Drosophila melanogaster: one gene and its partners. The protein of the gene in region 3 interacts with the protein of the main gene of each other region in a pairwise test. Each region holds a gene or a part of one and is shown on either strand. Other genes may lie near its edges.

Region 1 (7,968 bases), on a different chromosome or scaffold from region 3:
GTTGGATCCGCTGGGAATTTTGTGTTGTTATTTTTTCTTGATAAATAGTGAGAGATATATAGAGAAAATGTGGCTGGTTTGCTGGAGGTTAAAACCCTATAGTTCAGAAAGAAAAGGTATTAACAAGTATTACAAAAAAAAATAAAACTGGTACTGCAATAATTTGTTTTAATATAATTCGGAATTCTGTATACCTTCAAAATGCAAGTGCCACAGTGTGTTCGTGTCTTTTAGTGAGTGAGAAATGCAAATGGTTGTCCTAACTTTCAATGCTCTTGCATAGTTAATTATTTTCAATTTCCAGCCTCCTTAGCCTCCAATTAATAAGTATTTGAGCTTTAACAATTGTCAATGATTTCCTGTTCGGCTTAGTTCTCCATCTCATAGATTATATAAACAAATTTAACATTATATGCTCGTTACATTCGAATCGATTTGGATTTTGCTAGCTGCAAATACTGCGATCATACATCGTTAATATATCAATTGTTTACTTGTAGATTGCAATTAACGTTTCATTCGCATTCGCCATGAATGTATATTTTCATTATAGGTGTATAATTAGGCTATAAATATTATATTCCTCGAAAGATTTCATTCTTTCTTATGCTTCCATCTTCTTTTGTTTTGTCAAAATTTTGAATTCCAAACAAATGGGCAATTGGAACTATAAAAATTTAAAAGTGAGGCTAATCTCTGACTCTGCTTCTGGCTAAAATTGTCCCTGGCTAAATTCTAAATTAGTGAAATCATCCTAAACAGGGGATAATTTAGTGTTAGACTATATGGGCTATAGGCTATAGCTTCATTTCTTTCGCCTAGATCGCTAGATTGGGTTATCATCTCTATGAGGTTGCATCTACTCCACATGCAACTAGTACATTTGTCCTGCTTACAGACTATGTTCATAAGATATATGTAGAGTCGCGTGTGTGCTCCCTTTCGATCCGGCATGGATCGAAATGCATTCTTTTCAATATTTGACTTTTTTTTTTGACGAGGGCTATCCTAGACCGAAACGCTAAAACAAACGCATAACAAATGCACTGATCAAACTTGAAATTATTTGAGATTTTAAGGTTTGGCTCGCTTTCAACGGCTCGCCTCACTAGCAACGCTTTACAATTTTGGTTTCCCTCCGTGTTTTTTGTTCTTTTTTTTTTTGGTTTGGGCTTTTGTTGTTGTTTTGGTATACGTATCCAATAATCCTTAGGCCTTGAACAGCTGCGGAAATTCGTTCGCTATTTCCCGCACCAGCTGCTGATCGGAGGCACTGCACTCGGTCTCCTCGCAGAAGATGCGCGTGAAGATCTTCATGAGATCATGCTTGCGATGCTGGTGCTCCTGATAGTTCGTATTGCGCAGGATGCGTCGGCAAAGCTCCAAGTAGCATGGTCGCGTCTGAAACCAAATTAAAGTGTACTTAGTAGGGAGCACTATAGTTGCATTGACTTTTGGCGGACTCACCGTACTGCCGGCATCCAAATCGGATAGCTGGCGAACCACTATATCGATAAGCACCTTGATGTCATTCGTGTAGAACATGCCCGCCGTATCCGGATGGCTGAATATGTCGATAAACATTCGCAGCACCGTGTTCATATGCTCGTTGGGATGCTTGAGCAAGCGTGTGGGATCATCTGGTTAGAATTCAAGAAGAAATCGATCCAATTTACATGCTTATGTTTTGTAGTTAATTAAAAAGTATGCTTAAAATTGAAAACTTACCCTCTCGATTGAGCAAAAGTAGCAACTTCTCCGTAAACACTTTGGCGGATGGCAGATTCTGCATACCTTCGATGATGACATTATAGGTATGTTCGCTAAATTGCTGATTGAAGGCCAAGATCAAGGCAATGACCATGTCCACCAAGACCTCCGGATTATTGCCCTCGACGATTTCCAGTAGGAAGCTGGCAAAATGTACGCCCAAATAATCTATAATAGACATCAAAGTATAAGCATGCAACTATTGGTTAATAAGTTAAGATAGCTTTTACCCTGATGATTAACCGGCATGGGCTGTCCAAGTGAGAAGATAATAGTGAGCATCTTGACCAGCTGCTTGAAGCGATCCAGATTGGAGAAGTGCGTCTTCATGTCCTCGACCTGAAAGTTAAGTATGTTAAGTTCTAAACTTAGAAAACCATTAGGTGGCACAATCTGAGCTCCTGCTTACAATCTCCAATGGCAGCACCGAGGTCAGCAATATGTCCACAATGATATAGTCCAGATGGCAAGCGGCCGTAAAGGTCTTAAGCAGCAGTCGCTTGATGGACCAGCGCGTCTCCATCTGATAGTACTGCACCAGATTGATAAACATCTGGTACTGATCGCAGGACATCTCGTAGCAACTGATGCTCTCATCAGCATTGATCTGTAAGGAGTGATATAAGTTTAAGATTTAAAGTTACAAAAAAAAAACTAGTTCCTACCAAAATCTCAACAAGCTCCTCAAGGAACTGAATGATGTCCTCCTCATCCTCGTAGAGCATCCAAGTGCGTTGCTCCGTATCGTTCTTGCAGTCCGCCAGCTGGGCAAAGAGATACTGCAAGCGCTTGGCGTCGTGCGTAATGCCCAGCAGCTCCTTGGGCGTGGCCACTTTGCCAGTGACATGAACGGCCACCGCCTCCAGGTACGGATTGATGGCACCGTTGTACAGCTGCTCCAGGCTGGTCAGCACCACGCGCAATGCTTCACAGGAGAGATCGAAGCTGAGGTTGGTGTTCCGCCGCAGGGCGTCCACAATCTGATATACATCCGATGACTCAACCTTCAACTGGCCTCCTCCTGTGGCACCCTCCTCGATTCTGCCCAGGCTCAGGCCGCGCTGTCGATGCGACGGACTGTCGATGCTGTCCAGCGCCTGGCTATTATCCGCACTATCTCCGTTGGCCGGGCAACCGTCGTCACTTTGCACGGCGCTGGCATCATCCGACTTGTCCGGCGCACTGTCCGCTTCCTCCTGCTGCAGCTCCTGATGCAGGGCTGTGGCACTACCGTTGGCCTTGCCGTTGCCGCCGTTGCTGCGCAAAGCTGAGGCCGAGGCAGATGCGGAAATGGACGCCGAGGCAGTGCTCCCATTTTGCGGCTTATGCTGCTGGCTGGTGCTCATTTGGCTGGTCTCCTTGTATGTGGTGACCACATCTTCGCTGGTCGTCGTAGTGGTCGTTGTCGTCTCCGAGGGCTCCGACGTAATGCTATTGTCCTGCGCGACATCACCGCCGGTGGCCGCTTTGCTCGTTGATGCCGCAGTGGGTGTGGCCGATGCTGCCGATGGCGAGGGAGCTGGTGCTGGCGGTGCTGGGAGCGGCTGTTGCTGCTGCGGCGTCTGGATGGTGCAGCTGCTGCCCTGGAACTGCATGCTGCCCATGCTGGGCGATTCGATCATGCCCTGATTCTGGGGCAGGCCGCACGATGAGCCCACCGCTGGACTTGACATGCTCTTCTTGCTCATGTCCAAACGCTGGGAGCCAACGCTGCCGCCGCTGGGCGGCGGACTGTGCTGCCTGTGCTGGGAATGAAGCTGCGTCTGGGATTGGGTGGGATGGGGATGCGAGTGCCGGTGGCTACCCTTGTCACTGTAGCTGTGTGAATAGGAAAGCGAGGAGTCACCGTCGCGCTCGGAACTCTCCTGCAAGATAGGAGGGGAGATAGGTCATCAATAACATTCATTTGGCCATACGAGTAGTTAGAATCTACCCACCGCATACAGACGCTCCATGGTGTGCTTCTTCTCGCGCAGCCTGTCCAGCAGTTCGTCCTTGGACATGATGCCATTGATCTCATGGTCCGTGCACTTCTCCAGCGATTCTATCGAGGAGTTCAGAAAGCTGATGAGAAAGTCGTGCTCCACCTGTCAAAATTTGCATATGTTTAGTAATCCTTTTAGCCACTAGTGAGCGATGTACTCCACCTTAATCTTCATTACGTAATTGGAGGGCACAAAGCCAATGTTGCCTTTCATGCTGACAACCTGCCACCAATTGCGCTGGCGGGCGGACGTCTGGTAAAGGATGAAGTACTCGCCCTCATCGAAGCTGATGGTCTTCGGATAGACCGCCTGGAAGTCGTACAGAGCCTTGAGCATCTCGATGCCGATGCCTAAACCGATGTCGTTGCCACCTCCTCCACTGGGAACACTTGCTCCTCCACCAGGGCCACCTCCTGCCGCTGCCTCTGCTAAAATAAAAAGAATTAAATCGAAACGGATTGATTTTAAGTGATTTTCAAAGCTGGAAAATTTGAAAAACTTTAAGGGCGTCGACACTCACACAAGCACACGGGGAAAAACTGCAGCAGGCGCTAAAAAAAAAAGTTAAGTTCACTGCCGAGGGCCAAACTGCGGACTGACGGCACTGGCTACACTCTTATTGATGCTCCAAAATGTTTTTTCGTGCCACTAAACTGGACTGCAGCGAACTGCTGAGTTCCGCAGGATTCGCACGGAGCCGTCAAAGAGGATACTCCTCGTGCTGGTGGAATTTTTAATGGAGCACCCCCACACAGGAAGAGGAAAATGCAATTTTCATATTTCACTTGCGCTCGCTCACTCGCTCGCTCTTCCTGCCTTTCCCGTTTCTGCTTTGTGCGCTGCTTTTAGGTCCTGCAACAACGCCTTGCGCTTTTGATCCTTTTCAGCTTACATTGTTTTCCCCACAAACACAAACACGCCAGAGAGAGCCACGTGGCTTCTGCGCTCTCTACGCTCCACGCTACACTGAAAAAAGCACAAAGTGCATTCAATTTATACACTATTTTGAACAGTTTAGAGAGAAAGGTACGTGTTCAAGTCCAACTTCTGTCCTAAGAACTTTTACATATATTTAAAAACAAATTTAGATTTTTTTTAAATTTAAATTTTCTTTGGGTGCCTATTTTATTGCTTTGTGTGAAAATCTCAACACGAGCAAATCCGTTTCAAAACACAGCGCCCCCTCCACTGCCCCGCCCACTCGTGCTTTCTCTCTCCACGCGCGCGCATTTCCCTCTCTCTCTCTCTCTCTATCTTTCTCTCACACTTTTTTCTCGCAGGATATCCGTGCAAGAGTGAACCGGTTCATAAATAAGCCAGTGAATAGCGGTACAAATAACAGTAATATTTGTGGCCCACATTTGTGGTTTTAATATAATGCATGCATTAAATCTTCACAAATATCTTTATGTATATTAATTTTTAATAAAGCTACAATACTAATGGACGTTTTCAAAGTTAGGCTTTTCGCACTTTTTCAAATATTTTGCGGTTAATAAAACCTAAAATGAACTAGATCATTTGCTTTAAGTACTTCAAAATCAACTACTTTTCAAAATTTACTATAAACAAGTGTTGTGTAGTTACAAATTACAAAGGATAGTAATAGATGTACAGGACTGTTCTAAAGAAAACCTTGTATTTCCTATAGGACTGCCCCAAAAGAAATCTTATTGGACATCCAATAGGACCGAAGGCCCCTCTGTCGCCGATGATTCACCTGGTGAATGCTCTCGAATGCAAAGTGATTTTCGGAACTGCAGGGCTGCTGTACTCACTCACGCACACAAGGACACGCGGTGAATGGGTGTAATGTATGGAAATGCGACAATGGGCACAACACAAAAAGGATGCAATGAGAATGTGCCCCGCTCACTTACCCATGTTGTTGGGCGCACCTTTTACCGTAATTGCGTTTGTCGGTTGCTGTTGTTGTAGTCGCTATTGCTGCTGTTGTCTTCTTCCTGTTGTTTCCTGTCTCAGACGTCAGCTATCCTTCGTCCTGCGCCCTCCCGCACATCCGCTGTTGGCGTCCAGGAGCCAAGGACGTTTGCATATGTGTGTGTGTGTGTGTGGATGTGTGTGCTTTATGTTGCCTTCCGACGATGGGCGTGTTTGCTGCTCCTCTCTTTTGTGCTTTCGATGTCCTTTTGAAGGCGACACAGCTAGTTCCGCTGCTCCATCACTTGTTGTTGTTCCCTTTGGCCGCAGCACGCGAATGAGAAGCTCACTTGATTAATTCCAATGATGCGAGATGCGAAATGCAATGGGCGATGCGAGAAGGGTGATGCTGCTCCTCTCCTGGCAAAATGCGATGCACTTGTTTTATGTCTCTTTTGCTCTCCTGTCTATTTGTCTGTCGCCGGGGAGGGGCGATGGTCGGAAAGGGAATTCTTGTGGGGGGCGGTGATCACTCGATAAGGCGAAACTTTAGCAACAAGAAGTGTTGCAATTGTATTAACATTTTCTTGAATGTTAACAGTTTAAAAACCGCACTCACTCTTTGGCAATTGTTTAGTTTTCAAAATTTATTTAAATAAATACTTGTTATGCGCTTTAAAGAGAGAGCACTGTATCTAAAAAGTATGAGCGACAAATTGTTGTTGCACAGATATACATATGTGTTTACAACAACAACAATAACAAACTATTCCACACCCAAAAAAAAGCCGCAAGCTAACACACACGCGCACAAGGGTTAACGGCGTTTAGAGTTTGTTTATATATTGTTTTAAACAAGCCACGAATAACACTAACCAAAATTTGAGCACATCCAAGTGGCGTTAACTAAGTTTTCACCATTTTACCAAACAAAGACAGCGGGATCAACAAACAAAAATTATCCAATCACTTGTTTTTATTTCCTATTTGCTCTTCTCCTTTTAATGTAGAGGTGGGGCATGCCGGCCTGTTATCGTTATCGATATCAGATATATGTGGGCTGCCAACTTGGCGCTAGAATTTAAATGTTGAAAAAAAGCTCGATCTCTTTCGGTTTTCAGGAAAACGTTTCTTTATTTGCATATAATATTTAACTCGTTTGTGGGGGACAGTACGTGTAGTGATTTATATAAAAATACTGATTTTAAGGGCAAGCTAATTCTTGGGATGCGTTATAAAAATGTTTATTTAAATGCTAGCAAGTTTTTTTTTCTGGTTAAACGTTTTGCCTGTGGCACACATATGTAGTATATATATTGTTTTTATTTTTTCATTTTGATTAGTTATAACCGCAATTTGCTATTTTAGACTACAATTCACAGGGGAAACCCCTTTGTAATAACGTTCACTAGGCGTAAATAGTTTATAAGTACAGTTTTTGTTTGATTCAGAAGGCATCATATAAAAAGTTCCTAAGTCCTGGACGACCCAATTCGATTAAGTTTAAAGATTCAACAATATTTTCCGTTTATTTGCTTGCTTGTGGTCACAATAAATCATAATCGTATCATAATGGGGAAACAATCACATACACAATAAATTATAATAGCACAGTGTTGTTTTTTTCGTTATATGTGTACTTATCATATCTAGTTTAATAACAGCAGGCCACTTTTAAACAAATGTGTATTTGCGTGTGTATGTGTGTGTGTGTGTGTAAATATATCTATTAAAAAAAATAAACAACTTTTCATTGTACTTGCATTTATAAGAATAGGAATAGTATAATAAATATATATGATATAAACGAAAACAAACAGAAATACACTTTTAACCTTGCCTCGTTTTGAACTATATGTATTCATATTTTTGTAGGTCTCGTGGAACGGCACTTAGTTGAGATTTATGTTGCCGTTGTAGTTCTTGACGCTGGTATATAGTTGGTTTAGCATTTAGCTCTCTATATAACTATGGCAAATCGGCTGCGATCGACGGTTCGAGGAACTCGAAGTTCCATCGAAACGATGACGAGAGCATGGTGACTTCCTGGAGGATATCGTGGCTGGCGGAGGATCCTACGGCACGTGGATCCTCATGTGCCCCATAACCATTCCTTAATCCATCCTCTCCTTCTCCGTCGCCTCCTCCTTCCTGGTCTGCTTGACTTTCATTTCCAAAAGGTCACGCACGGCCGCAAAACATTTGTCCACAATTAGGATCTTGGTGCACGCTAATTGTTAATCCGTTTGAAATTATGCTATTAAAAATAATATTGATAAATGTTGCTCCGTATCCGTAACGTATCCATTCCGTTTCGTTTTGCCGTTGCCTT
Region 2 (4,982 bases), on a different chromosome or scaffold from region 3:
CAATTTTAACTTCTAAAAGTGGATACCAACTTTAATATAACATACTTGTCAACTAACCAGGGACATCTTATTGCCCGAATGTCCGTACCATTTCAACCAGAAGCTGGGCCCAATTAAAAGTTTCAATTCGAATTCAATCGGCCGAGTTTAAAAGTTCAACCACTTTGGGCCAGCATTCGAAAGTTATATTCAGTTTATGAATGTTCAAAGGTTTCCGATTTTCCCAGCTCGTGCTCGCTCCGCATTATCATAATTTTCACGCGATACTTGGCGGGTTTTTCTCATGTGCCCAATAGGCGACATCGACGACATCATAAAAATTCACTCTTCATGACGCTGGTTCCCCCACATGGCTCCCCGCCACATGGCTCGTCTCATGGCCGTGTTTGTGTTCCACATCGATCCGCACCACCGCGCCACTCCAGCACCACGATTTTAAGACGCGGTGTCCCAGCTCCGGCTCCATCACTAAGCTTAATGAAAAGCTGTTTTTGTGTGTTGTCTCCTCAGCGGAGGAAGCGTGTGTGACTGTTTGCCCATGTGTATATATGTGGCATATACTTTGACTTTTGATGGCAGCCATGACGGGTTTTCGGGCTTGGGGCTTGGGGTTTGCATTGGACTCTTTCCCCATCTCGGGCCAGCCGCTTTGTTGTTGGCTCTGTTGATTTTTGAATCATTTCGTGACTTTGATATTTACTCAGACGCTTTGAGGGGGTTTTTTCCTCCTATTTTTTTCGTATGAAATGTGCGCGCTATTCCAAATCGAAGCGAACCTTTGGTAATATGGCGCTTACGTACTCAATGTACAGGTACGCACTAATGGTCGCCGATGGAAACACATTCGGCGAATCTCATAGATACATTTCGATGGGTTCAGCTTTAACTTTTAAAGGAAGGAGTGCCAGCGCACTCTAATGGTTCTTAAACGATTATCACTAAAGTCACTAAAAATCATGTTAAATTTGCAGCATTTTATTATAATAGTTCATTATATTATAATAATTATAATAATATTATTATAGTTCAACTTTAACTGATTCCGCGCTGCATTTGTAGTTAAACATGAAATTCAATAAATGCTAAAATATTAAATGTATTAAAATTAGTTAGAGATGATGTTGCTAACCTATCGATTTTCTATAAAATATAAAAACCAGTGTATCTATTATATAATTCAAAGCAATAACCACAATTGCCCTCCTCTCAGGTAATCGAACACGTGCAATAATAAATGCTCTGTTTGTTTATTCGCTACTCCGATCGACTTATCCCACTCCCATTCGCACTTTGTTGAAAAGGACAATATTTCGCACCTGCTCAGGATGCTGGCGGGTGGCATGGATGACGACAAGTCACTGGTAGCCAGTTGGAGGCGATTAAACCGAATCTGCTAAATTTCACACACCACTTCGCGTGAAAATAAACCGAATTTAAATTTAGATACTGCGTGGGCGAACTGAAATGGAAATAGCCGTGAATTGGCTCGATTCTAATGCAATCAATAATGTTTCCGGAGGACAATGTCAGAGGTCGCTCCATTGAGAACTTGGTGACCTTTCAGGATATTTTCGATATATTTTTTTTGGCGATTTGTGGGCGTTTCTTTAAACACCGATTGTCACACTTTTGTTTTCAGCACTCCACGGCACAGTGGTAGGCGCACTTTTATGAGCGGCGTACTAAAATTTTGTACAAACTGTAATTAATTAGTAAGCATTTGTCAAGTACTAAACGATCTGCGTGGGCGTTGCGGAGGGGTGAGGGGGGTTCCTTCGGGTCTGTTTATGGGCCTCTTTGATTTGCATTTAATAGGATAATTTTCACATGCGTCGTAATTGGACGCCTCAGATCGATCCAACTTGATGTTTTTTTTTTGGCAATACCCAGACGCATGTCTGAAAATTCTTATGTCCCCACTAATTTGCGTGTGAACGTCGGCCACGCCCACGGCCACTCCCGCCCCTTTCTCGGCTGCTGTTTTATGTCATTAGAGGTATTATTAGGATCGTTAATGGGGGATTTTGTCACTTGCCCGTTGGATTTCGGGCGAGCCGCCAACACTTCGTCTTGACTTTTTTCTTCTTTTTTTGGCCAAGTGTCAAAATATGTCTGTTTGGTGATTTTGTTTGGCTTCGGCATTTGATTTTCACACGTTCGTTTAAATAGGTTTGCCAATTTGCTATTTGATTACGTTTATGGTCATATGTCACACGGAGGAATAAACACTCGCACTTTATGGCACCCAAACTTTTGAATCGGAGAAGTGACTTTATGATTTTTTTGGGAGCCATATGTTTTGGGGTCAGTGTTTGTCTGCCACAATTCTACTTCATTTTTTACATTTTCTTCTCAAAAAGTTAATTATTTCCAAATATATATTTAAAAGTACAACATATCCTTTGCCGACGCATAAGTCTACTTCCATCGTAAAAATGTCTGATTTTTCTTTTTTGAATAGTAAAAAGATTAGTCAACGTTTCGCAATGTTTAATAGCTGTTATTAGCATTTAAAACGAAGTGTTTAACACTTCTGTTCGAAAATAAAGATGTTTTAAAAAGGAATACAAGCGTTTCTTAAAATAAACTTCGAATTTTCGTTTAAGTTTCTTTCTTATGAAGTTTAAACTTAAAATTTTGAAACCAAAATTGAGATAAAGTGCAACTAACTTACCAATTTGGTAACCTGCTTCACGCCGAAACTCGGCGCTCTCGATATAATCCAGTGGTAAACTCCTTATGAAGATGGTTTAGGTTTAGATTTAGATTTTAGTTGAATACGCAACACTGCCAAATCACGCACTTTTATAGCACTAATTCCCTAGAGGGTTCACTTTATCAAGGATCACTATCGTATGAGTTCAGATTCAAGTGGGAAGATACAGCCGCGTGAAATTTGTTTTCAAAGATTTCAAGATATTTGATTCGAGTCGAGATTCGAGATTGGAGTTTAGCGCTGCCGCCGATCGTGTGTTTGCGTTGCCACCGTTCCCGAGCTAATGATCAACGATCGGTGCTAATTTTTTCAACCATCACAAGCCGCGCTTTCGGTTCCTCTATTTCTCATCTCTCGTCTTTGGCCAGCCGATCGACATCGTGGCATCGTTGTTGTTTTCTTGTTTTGGCCCATGGATGATATGATGGCCGGCTAGCGTGCTAGCTCTCTACCGGTCCTATAGCCATCTCGTTTTGGCCCGATCGATGATCGGCTGGCTGACGGATGGTTAGGCCACACCCTCTAACAGGTAAGACAGCGGCGGTATTTCGCCTCTCGCTCGCTCACCCGGCTGGTCAATTTGCGGCCATCGCCATCGAGAACCCGGCAACAGGTAGAGAGCCCCCATAACATCGAACTCTCAGGTGGGTCGGATCGTTCAGGGCGAGCACACCTTTAACTCTCAGAAGGCCCAGAATTGGAGTCCTAGGCGGGATTTATATACCCCTGCTGTAACCCCCGTGGCTAATCGTTCAATTTGCATGCGCCAAAAATTAAGTGTAACGTGTTTCAGTTGCTCACATTTGTTGCACAGAGAGAAAAAGTCTCTTATCTTTTGTGATCTTTATTATAGACGCTCTGAATTTGTCAAAGGAATCCTTGTCTCAGCCGTAGATTGGAAGTTGAAGGAATCTTTTATCTTTATATCCCATCCGTTGTTATTGAAACTTCTTTCATTAAATGCCTACTGTACATAATCATGGTTTTTGAGTTACTACTTGGAGTCCATATGTAAATAGTTTAATAAGTGGTTGATATCAAATAGATGCAATACAAAAGATCAAGATATTCACTAACAAAAACCCTTAAACTAGGATAATCTGAGATTAAAATGTAAATCTGAGTTGTTTTTTTCGGTGTGTCTGAGGTCTGGATTCACAGTACGTTGTTCGTTGTTCGCCGCAGAGTGGCTTTGATTTGTTTAGACGCTCGTTTTGAGTTTTGTTTGTCCAACCAATTAAAACTTTGTATTTTTTCCACGGGGTCTGTTTGCACTCCAAAACGGGTTTGCCGATCCAACACTTTTTTTTTTTGGTAAAATTTTCAGCTGAATTTCGAGTTGTAAACATTTGACTCTGGTGCGTCAATTTGTGTATGTGGCCAAAATACAAGTTACCCCGGGGCGGAGTTGCTGGATTTTTGGGGCGGTGCGTGACCACACATGACCAACTGAAATTTTGCATCCACATTGGAGAGAATCACACTTTAAAATGCTATATCACTTGTATTTTTTACTTTACATTTCGAACATTATATTTTATTATCGAAGATAAAATAGAAAAAATGTACCTAAAAATATCTTTTAATTATCCGTGTATTATTGCATTGATTTCATTGCTAATTTATATAGTAAATACAGTAAAATGCGATTCAATGAAAGTTTGCTGGGTTGTTTCAAAGTTGTATATTGCGAGACTCGAAACACCAACTATTTATAGCTTTTCCGTGATTTTTTTGAGATCACGCGCCTCTTGCATCGGCAGTCTGTGTTTTTTCGTGGATCGCAGCTCGCTTTTTAGTCGGTTCCAAGTCATCGCCGCGTGTCAATGGACCGACTTTATCTAGGGGGCTGGGAACGGTCAAAAAGTTGGGCATTCTATGGCGCTGAAAGACAAACAGCTCGCGGCCAACGATGGCCATTAGTTAAGGGTCTGGTACAACAGTACAACCGTCGGTAGTAAATGAGAAAAATCAACAGACTAGGGAACTCAATAAAATAGTCGGAGATGGAAATGAAAATGGAGGGGACTCCGGAGGGCTGAGCGTTGGCTAATGGAGAAATGTATCTGGCGGATAGACAAGTGAATCGAATGGATCGCCATGTAGTTGTCGCAACCGTGACGGATGTCTGGGCTACCTATTCCAGTTCCCTTTGGTCATTCATTAAAGATGCCGCACGTTTTCATTAAGAATGCGCCGCGCAGAGGAGTACGCGGAAATGAGGGCGAACCCTACCAGCGCGATCCTCAATCCTTTCGATGACGAT
Region 3 (6,068 bases):
AAACGTTAAAATTGAAAAATCATGCGCCAGTGAGGAGCAACCAGAAGCCAATATCCAGATGGTGCCCACGGCCAGCAGACGAGGCCGAGTATAATTGAAAAATATAAAGTATCGCCGCAATCTGATTAAAATTACATTTAAATAATAACAACAAAAACAAGGCGGCCAACCTGGGGGCGGGACGAGGGCAGCGGCGAATATTCTGTGATGTGCGTCAGGCACGAAACTTGCAATTACAGTTTGTAACGCGGTGGCAGGTAAAAAACTTTACAAAACTTTCCAATTGCTTTTCATTGAATTGTTATCGATAGTGAAGAGAATGGAAAAAACGCAAGGAAAAATGGGCAAGGCAAAAATAGAGAAAAATGAACAAATATACCTGGTTGAAGGCTCGAGGTAAGAAATTCTTCAAAGGACTCGCCAAATCCGTAGCGTACTGTACAGCGTTCTTTAAGTTCCATGTGCCACACTTCAATCACTTTAAATTGGCATTTAAAGCAAGCTTTACTTATTTTTCGCTGTCATCGCTTGGTGATATATTTATACAGTTTGATTTTACATAATATGGTTAGCTTAAAGGCTAAGGCTTTGATTTTTGATGGGCATGATATACATATTAACAGATGTACGTAATGCTTTTGAACTGAATGCTTGCGATGGTGCGTGATAGCAGCTCAACTGATTTTGTTGCGCAGATAATACTTGATGAGCTGAATGCACACCTCAGCATCCTCGGCACTGTCGTGGCCAGCCTCTGTGGAAGAAGGAAATATAATAATTATAATAAACTTCTTACGTCAAGTGATAAAGTAAAAGACTAGACACACTCACCGCTCTCCTGTATAATCCGCTTTAGGTTTTCAATGCACAGTGTTTTCAGAGCTCGCTTCTTTGGCGGTCCCATCTTGTGGGGAAACAGCACCGATGTGTCCACCACAACGTCGTGAATGAGTTTGAGTGCCTTCAAATCGCTCTCCAGACTGTGGCCAACGAGCACGGTTTTGGCATGGAACATGGACATCAGCACCGCCTGAACGTCGCGTATGGTACGCGTCTCATTGGAGAGCATCGCCTCCGTGATGCCCGAGTAGCTGAAGTCAGAGTATTGCAGATTAATACGAAACAACCGAAAAGCTACATTCACCCACGTCGTATTGTAGTCCACAATCTGGTTGTCCGGCTTGACAAGAGCATCGTAAACGCTGCGTCCATTTATGTCCACCACCGTAACGCGGGTTAGCTCTATTCCGTGTGTGGTATAACACATCTCGCAATCCAGTGCATATATGTCCTTCTTAGTGGGCACAAATTCCTCACCCCGTTCGATCGTCTTCACGAAACAGGTGAGCTTTTCCGGATCGTAATAGTCGCTGACGTGGTAGTTGGCATAGGTGCAGCCTGGAGTGCCCGCCGGCTGCTGGCAGCAGCGATGCTGGTGGTCCGTGAATCCTCGTCGATATCCCGTGCTTTTCGGATGGTAGTTGCACATGTCAAAGCTCTGGTGCTCGTATATGTCCAAGCTGAATACCTTGCCGCAGCGGGAACAGTAGCGCTCTTTCTGGTTGGGACGACGGTTGGGGCGGCAGGCGCGTATCACTGCGGATCCGCGCTTATCGCCCGGACGCGGATATCCGTTCTCCACCAGCTGCTCTTCAGTCAGGCGAAGATCGAATACCATTTTGTAAGCTTTCTCGGCGTCTAAAGCATCGAAAGGTTCGCCATTGCCCAAGGAGCTCAGTTTTCTGCAATAGATATATATTTAATGTTTGTTAGGGTAAAGATATCAAAAACTTTTTATATGCAATTGAAATGTTAGAAATACGTACAAATGTCATAAAAGTTAACATTCATGACTTCCAGGAAGAAATGTGAAGTCATAAAGAGAAATTATGCTTATGTTTACGTTTATGCTTGTGGCCAGTGGCAGTATTTACAATTAAGCGAATTTCATCTTATAATGTGCACATAGAGAATAACTATAGTTTAGTATACAAACCCACCCCTTTTTCTCTACGCTCCAGGATGTGGTGAGCGCCCGCTTGCCGCCCAGCATCATCTCGTGCGACACAGTCTTGCAGGCTACGCTCGGCTTGTTTCCCGCCTCTAAGGCCTCCTTGCGGAGCTTGTTAATCGCCAGCATGCAGCTGTTCTTGTAGATGGCAGGCGTGTTGCACTTCTTAAAGACGGTCAACTCCTCCACCTGGGCGCGCTCCCAGGCATCTGCCAGCTGCGGATAGATGACGGTGCAGTGCCTTACCATCATCTCATAATACTGAATGCGCACGTTGTATGATATCTTGGAGCTGCTGGGATCTAGGACGGTTGGCTTCTCCGCGTTGGACACAGGAGCCGCTTTGTCTAGCGCAGCAGTGGGCTTGTGAGCCACACGGCCGGCGCCCTTGAATGATTGTGCAGGCGTAAAGGCTGGCTTCTTCTCGGCCTGCAGCTCCTCGATCTTTTTTTTGGCCCGAGCGATGGCCACAATGTTGGCCACAGGTGCTATGCTGCGAGCTGGTAACCAAAAATATTTGAATTTGAATTATTATATATTCCAAAGTGGTATGCTCACCTGATCGCACTGGTGGGGTCAGAGCACTTCGCGAAATAAGTGGCGTGAGGTTGGAGTTGACCTTGGCCTGACGGAGCTCCTCCTGCGCTTGGCGCACCCGCTCCTGTGCCTGACGTACCTGCTCCGCTGAGGCTTCGGCTTGTAGCTTCTCCTGGCGCCGCAGCTCCGCGCGGCGGTTGAAGATCGCCTGCATGGCATTACGGACGTGATTGGGTTTGCGCATCGCCGCCGAAGGAGCCAAATGAGGCGTGATCTTGTCAGCATTCTCGTGGGCCACCCGGCGCTTCTGCAGAGCCGCCGTGGCTGCCTCGGTGAAGGTATCAATGTCCGGAGAAGGAGCTTTGCGCTTGCGAGAACTCTCCGGGTTGGCATTGCCGCCTTCGTCCTTGTGCATCTGCGCAAATTTTTTTTCCATCTCGTCAAAAATCATTTCACACTGGCGTACAATTTCTCCTTCCGAGGTGTCTGCTTCAAAATCAAAGTCCATGTCATCCAGATCATCCATAGGTTCTGCTGGTGTCAGTACAGCTGCTTCAGTATCCTTATCCGCCTCCGGTTCGCTCTTTGAAGTGCCAGCGCTTTTGCTGGAAGACGAGCTCCTCTTAGTTTTGGACCGTGAACTCGAGGAACTAGATTTGTGATGATGGCTCTTCGAGGAGGATGATGAAGAACTGCTCTTGTGCCTGCTACTGGAACTTTTGTCGTCGCGGTGCTTATCGCTGCTGGATGACTTTTTGCTGGAAGAGGAGCTAGATGAAGACTTGTGCTTAGAGGAACTTGAGCTTGAAGTATTTCGCTCCTTGGAGCGCTCCTTGTCGCTGTGGGAGGACTTTCGCTTATCCCTATCATTTTTTTCCTTCTCTCTGTCCCTTTCCTTGCTCTTCTCTTTGTCTTTTTCCCGGTCCCGGTCCCGGTCCCGATCCCTGTCTTTGATCTTTTCCCTTTTCAGCTCTCTGATCTTCTTCTTTTCTATATCCCTTTCCCGCTCCTTGCTGGGCTTTCGATCCTTTTCGTGGCTATCCCTAGCATCCGTCAGTTGCGTATTCTCCTGGTCCTCCTCGTTTTCAGCTACCGTATCTATCTTCTGTTCTTCGTCGTTATTCTGGACTTGCTCCTCAATCTCCACCTGCATCTGCTCATCAATTTCCTTTTCGAGTACCGCCTGCCAATCGTCATATTCTTCGCCATTTGTAACAGATGGCTGGCCGGGCACATATTTGGGAGCACTGTCCACGGACGCCTCCTGCTTCTTCTTAGCCGGCGATGCGTCAAGAGCCGGCTTCTCCGGGTGGTACTCCAGATTGGACTTCTTCCGGGGCGCACATAGCGTGATCTGGGGCAGTGGAAGGGAGAGCAACTTGGGTGCCGGCTTGTACTTGGGCACGGGGGAAGGTTCTGCAGGTGGAGCGGCCTCCAATTCGTCTGTAAACCGAGAGTGGATAGAATTTGTTGCGAAATTAACTGGACGTAATTCACTCACCTTTGCGAGCATGCTTAAAGTGGCAAAAGGGGCGCTTGCAGGACGCCGCATCCTGGCCGTCAAAGTAAGGGCACAAGAAGCCCTTAAAGAGACCCGTGGATGGCAGCATTTCCACCTCTTGCTGGGATTAGAAATTTAATAAAGCCGCTTGAGAAAACAAGCGTCCCAAATTTCTTTCTATTCTTTCTGCCTGTCTCTTTCACTCATTTCGACAGATGTCAGCTGTTTCAGCTGCTGGCGGCGTTGCCAGATAGGCGTCAGCATGGATGCTATGAATGGATGCTAAGGAATTAAATTAAATAAATTTAAATAAGTTTTAAATATTTACAAAACATTGAATGACCTATTTAATTAATAATTGTAAACAATATTCGCATTTTGTTAACGGTTACAATGTACGTTTATGGCAGTTGATTGCATCAATCCGGGAGGATTATATCTTGCGGTACGATGTACAATGCTATGCGATGTTAATAAGAATAAGATGTACGTAATAAGAATGTGGTGACTAACGGTATAAACAAATGGTGTAAAAAGTCTGGCAACTCCTGCAAACAGCTGTTTGCTGTGCCAATTTCCTATAGGGTCTTCGCCGCTTGTAAACAAAAACGCAGCAGTATAATAATAAAAATAATTGTTTAACCTATAAAATTGTTTGCTTATCTAGCCTAATGAACTTGATAGCTGCGGAACCGTTTTAATTTCGATCGAGTGCATCGCAAACTGAAGTTCGGGCGCGACATTCAACTGCCGCCTCATCGAAGGTTTGTGTGGGTGTGTCTGCTGGAATATGTTATTAAAAAAGAAATTCATATAGAAATTCAAATGAAACCGGCCATTATCGGTGGCCGACTGTCTGCAATAGCAATGATTAGGGTGATATATTATCGCACTGAGTCAGTGGACGCGGGTGGCGGATCCCACGGTGCGATAATTCAAGTGCTCCCCCTCCGGCAAGGTTTGCTGTGATATGGAACCAACCTATGGATTCAGTCGTATAACGGCAGTCTGGCGCTTCAGTTGTCTCCGGCAAAAGTGAATTCCCCATCGAGTACAAAGGTCAGTGGGCTAGAAATTCGCCTATGATTTCACCAGTGCGCCGGGAGTATAAATATTTATAAAGCTCCCCAATCCGGACTTTGTCCAGCTTGAGGAGATTAGTGAAGATAGTCGTCTAGCTGCAGTCCAAGAAAGATTACGTTCAACTTGACGCATAATCCGCTTAGTTGCACATTAAGTGTTCTTAGTTGTGTGGTATTAATTTGCACACCATTTTAATGTTTAACCTATAAGATGAGATCAATTTATTTCCGATGTGAATGTACTCAGTAATGTATTGGGTGAACTTTGGACCTGACGAACGTAAAAGCGATTCCCGATATGATTATTGTACTAATCTGACTTAGGCCTATAGAAAACCACCACACGCGCAGACTGATATCAACGATTCCAACGTGTCCCCCGCAGCTAAACCACCATGGACCGGGCTAGTCTATATTTTATGAGCAAGGATGATAAGAACACCTTCGACTTCGACGAGACCTTACCTTCGCTCCCGCTGCCGGAGCTTAGGGACACCATGGAGCGCTACTACAGCTGCATCCAGCCATTCGGGACCAAGGAGGAGTTGGCCCAGGCCCGCAAGACTATTGATGAGTTCCAAAACGGAGTGGGAGCCCAGCTGCACGAACAGCTCAAGAAGCGGGCGGCCGGCATGAGGAACTGGCTGGGCACCTGGTGGGAGGACTACGGATATCACCTGATTCGGATGCCGCTGCTGCCCTACCAGCTCATGGTCATGCCCTCGCAATTGGAAATGGTGGGCGTGCCGGAGACACCGGAGTACATGCTGAAGGTGAGTGGACCCACACCCCAAGCTCTATAAGAACACAAAGTTTAAGATTGCCTAATTGACTGTATAATTTTCGAAGAGTCTGGCGCGCCACATTCACCACTCGCTGGAGTTTTGGGATCTGACTAGAAAGTCCAGCATCAAACCGCTCTCCTCGAACGGCGGTA
Region 4 (3,754 bases), 1.9 Mb from region 3:
ACTTGTTCAAAAAATTGAAAATTCATACATGCGCGTACACAACACACACGAAATATTTATAAAGTCAGACACAAGCCCCAAAGACCCCAAGAGGTTGCTTCCAGCAAGGAGTACGAGCCGGGCCCGCTGAGGCCACAGTAAAATTTAATTTTAATGCATAAGCAAATTGAATTTAAGCAACAGGAAAATTGTTCGTCTGGCCACAAAGGTGCCGCATGTGGAAGCAAAAACCACTTGCCAGGGAAACGAAAAGGCGGACTAAAACCACGTCGAGTGTTTCATGCTGAAAGTTTTCACCTGAAGAAGGCGAGGCGAAAATTCCTTAAACCAACCACAATTACCGAAATGGGGTGCCTTCATCAAACATTTTTAAGAGCAGGACATGCTTGAAAAATTCTCGGTCTCCGAATTAGGCAAAGGAAAAACTAGCACACCGCAAAAATATAATTGAAATAATTGGGGGCGTATTAAAAAGTGTTCGAAAATAGTTAGACCGCAGAGAAGTGTAAATTGTATTTTTTGAAGAGAAATACACGATTTTTTTTATGCAGTGACCCCAAATATTTTTATTTCATTTAAAGTAGCTGTACTACTTCTGGCTTATCATCCATACGAATTCCTCGTAGTTGATCATGCCATCCCCATCAAAATCAGCCTCGCGAATCATCTCATCGATCTCCTCGTCGGTGACCTTTTCGCCCAGATTGATCATCACAAAGCGAAGCTCAGCTGGTGATATAAAGCCATCGCCATCACGATCAAAAATCTTGAATGCCTCACGCATTTCCTCCTCAGTGTCAGTTTCCCGCATTTGCTTGGCCATTATACCGCAGAACTCAGTGAAGTTCAGTTGGCCATTGTTGTTGTTCTCGGCCTCAGCTATCAAATCTTGCAACTCGGCCTCCGTTGGATTCTGGCCCAAGGTGCGCATCAATGTGCCCAGCTCACGGGTGGCGATCTTGCCGGTTCCCTCCTTGTCGAACTGGACAAAGGCATCCTTGAACTCGGCAATCTGCTCCTCCGTTAGTTCGGACATCTTGATAAATTTTCAAAGATTTTCGGTATTTATCGAGATATTTTTAAATGCTTGCAGAGCTATAGACTGTTGGAATTTACGAAAGGGAATGAGCCGAAACTGTTTTGATGATACTGATACTGACAGGTCGGGTTCCCAACCCCTAAAGCCTGCTTTTTCCTTATGTAGTGGACATCATTCTGACAAATCGCACATAGTCTATATTGCCTTCCAAATCAGAATTTGCATCACGGATGATCTCCTCCACCTCATCATCCGTCAATTGCTCCCCCATGTTCTGCATTATGTGACGAAATTCCGATTCAGATATTAAGCCGGTTCCTTCTTTGTCAAAGACTCTGAATGCAGCTATAATTTCATCCTCGGTAGACATGTTTGCGTACCTCTGAGACATGATGTGAAGGAAATCGCTGAGATATAACTCACCGGATCCATCAGCATCGATCTCGGCCTGAATTTCCTGCAATTCCATATCACTGGGATAGTGGGCCACAGACAGCATTAGTTGCCTGAGATTTGTTATAGGAATAACCTTAGTGTCTTGGTCGTCAAACAGGGAAAAGGCAATCTCCAAATCCTTGACCTGTTCTTCGGTCAGATTGTGGGTGCGAATGGTCCGTTCCTCTGGCGGCGGAGTAAGGAATTCGAAATCCATGGCCAAAGGAAGGGGTTGGGGGTGGGAAAATTTTGGGGTCACTGAACACTCACTACAAATTTTCGACAAACTTTAGTTCACAACTTCATATTTATAATTTAATAACAAGAAAAGCCTACTCTTGTTATCATTTTATCTATTGTATATTGGCTTTTTTTTTTTTTTAAAGAATAGTCCAAACTGGTGGTATCCGATATTTCAAGATCTTCGATTCCATTGGCCATGCTTTTGAAATTTATTGATTAGATCTACAATCGGTTATGTTTTTTATTTTTCAAAGAGAGTGTTACGTCTCCATCATCATGGTCACAAAGCGAACGTAGTCGATTTTCAGTTCCGTGTTGGCGTCGGCATCACGTATCATTTCCTCGATCTCGTCCTCTTCCATTTCATCGCCATATTCAGTCATTATCTGACGGAACTCATTCTCGTGTATAAAGCCAGATCCATCTTTGTCGAAGACTTTGAAAGCGAGGATAACTTCATCTTCGACGGTCAAATTCTCGTACCGTTTCGACATGATGTATAGGAAATCACTGAGATAAAGCTCGCCGGATCCATCCGTATCAATTTCGGTTATATAATCCTGTATCTCGTTTTCCGGCGGGTTGTGGGCCACGGCTCGCAGGCAATCTCTCAATAACTTGATCGGAATGACCTTGGCATTATCGTCGTCGAAGAGGGCGAAGGCCGCCTCACAATCCTTGAGCTGTTCATCATTCAGCGTGTGGGTATGAACTGTTCGTACCTCCGGAGGTGGACTACTGAAATCAAAGTCATCCATGGCAAATTGTAAGTATACCTTGGGCTAAAATTTGGATTTCCCGAAAAGATGAATTTTAAAATTTAGTTTTTCGAAAATAGTTGTGTTTAAATATTGTCTTTTCATTGACAGTTTTCCATTTAGACTGAAATTGTGGAAAATTCAAGGCATTGACAACAAAAGATTACTAGTTAGTTTTTTAAAATTTTTTTTTTGTTAGTTGCCCCACGCTCTTTTCTGACATGGTTCTTAAACTCATTTTCAGTAAGATAAATTTGTGAAATGGAAAAAACTACAACTGCTCCGTGATGCAGTAACACCGCAGTAAAATATAGCAGGATTTAACAATTAAATTTGCAACAATTTTCCGAATAATGTTTTCATAGCCTCTGGCTACCGCTTCGAGCAATGTGGCTGTTGAAAAGCATGGGTAATTACATTTTTAATTAAATGCGTCGCAGTTTGTTCTGTTTTTATATTATTTTTATTTTTGTTGGTGCATTTATACAACTGTTCAGTATTTTTTCTGCTCAGCCATTTGCTGCCATCGTTGGTCTCTTGGGTCATAAAATGTTTTTTGTGTTTGTATTTTTTTTTTTTTTATTGAGCATTACGGGCAAATAGGGAAATTATCCAATGCAAAATTTCGAGCAATTTGCATAATTTGGGAGCGGAGAAGGCGAGAACCAAACTGCACAAACCCATGTCCCTGGCCATCAACCTTTCTCACACGTGCTCCTCCCAGTGGAGCGAACAATGGGGGCTTCTTGGTAATGAGAAGCAAATCCTGGCCACGAAGGACACAAAGGATTTAGGATTGGGGCCAAAGTTGAGCCACACAACAAGGCACTGTCAAGCATTTCTCTGCATAGATTAGAGAGGACTTTTCGGGCCAGAGATGCGGGATTATATATTTGTATGGAAAACAATAGTTCCAAGTATTACTTAGCAGGTAATATATTAATTAGGGCTACTAACTAAATAAATAAAAGTTGTTTGCGTTAAAGGAGAGTAAAAACAATTTGCTTAAAATAATTGGCAGATTTGTAGATCTCCCAACTAATAAATTCTATTCTGATGACCACATGTGTATATGTTTATACGATTGTCTGGTAAATGCAGCTCAGAATATGTTTGTTGTTTGACTTTAATCAGGCATAAACAGGACGATATAGCAACAGCCGAGCCGCAATCGAAATGGCAACAGACCTTTGGGGGATTTGGATAATTTGCATTTCTGTAGTGGGACAGGACACACATGCAAAGGGTTTTCATGTGCAAATCCCTTTATGCCAGTTTT

The links.
Region 1: the proteins of CG12877 (region 3) and CG2258 interact in a two-hybrid assay, tested with the Drosophila melanogaster proteins (one large-scale study listed by BioGRID).
Region 2: the proteins of CG12877 (region 3) and byn interact in a two-hybrid assay, tested with the Drosophila melanogaster proteins (one large-scale study listed by BioGRID).
Region 4: the proteins of CG12877 (region 3) and Acam interact in a two-hybrid assay, tested with the Drosophila melanogaster proteins (one large-scale study listed by BioGRID).

What each region holds. Positions count from the first base shown.
Region 1 is NC_004354.4:8,095,434-8,103,401, forward strand, and holds the start of CG2258 (uncharacterized protein), read right to left. Parts: upstream 6,022-7,968; 5' UTR 5,636-6,021; intron 4,639-5,635; exon of another isoform or gene 4,276-4,638; intron 4,184-4,275; 5' UTR 4,092-4,183; coding exon 3,918-4,091; intron 3,858-3,917; coding exon 3,708-3,857; intron 3,636-3,707; coding exon 2,436-3,635; intron 2,378-2,435; coding exon 2,180-2,377; intron 2,110-2,179; coding exon 2,001-2,109; intron 1,939-2,000; coding exon 1,729-1,938; intron 1,641-1,728; coding exon 1,468-1,640; intron 1,402-1,467; coding exon 1,210-1,401; 3' UTR 1-1,209.
Region 2 is NT_037436.4:11,925,716-11,930,697, reverse strand, and holds the start of byn (brachyenteron), read right to left. Parts: upstream 3,006-4,982; 5' UTR 2,675-3,005; intron 1-2,674. UniProt on the Drosophila melanogaster protein: Required for the specification of the hindgut and anal pads.
Region 3 is NT_033777.3:27,705,300-27,711,367, reverse strand, and holds CG12877 (uncharacterized protein), read right to left. Parts: upstream 4,269-6,068; 5' UTR 4,159-4,268; coding exon 4,050-4,158; intron 3,992-4,049; coding exon 2,570-3,991; intron 2,512-2,569; coding exon 2,001-2,511; intron 1,743-2,000; coding exon 1,149-1,742; intron 1,092-1,148; coding exon 832-1,091; intron 755-831; coding exon 675-754; 3' UTR 511-674; downstream 1-510. Other genes in the region: CROT (carnitine O-octanoyltransferase), read left to right, coding at 5,527-5,904, 5,981-6,068.
Region 4 is NT_033777.3:25,809,926-25,813,679, reverse strand, and holds Acam (androcam), read right to left. Parts: upstream 1,770-3,754; 5' UTR 1,692-1,769; coding exon of another isoform or gene 1,197-1,691; 5' UTR 1,037-1,196; coding exon 590-1,036; 3' UTR 546-589; downstream 1-545. Other genes in the region: CG17770 (uncharacterized protein), read right to left, coding at 1,197-1,691; CG5024 (uncharacterized protein), read right to left, coding at 1,978-2,475. UniProt on the Drosophila melanogaster protein: May be involved in calcium-mediated signal transduction.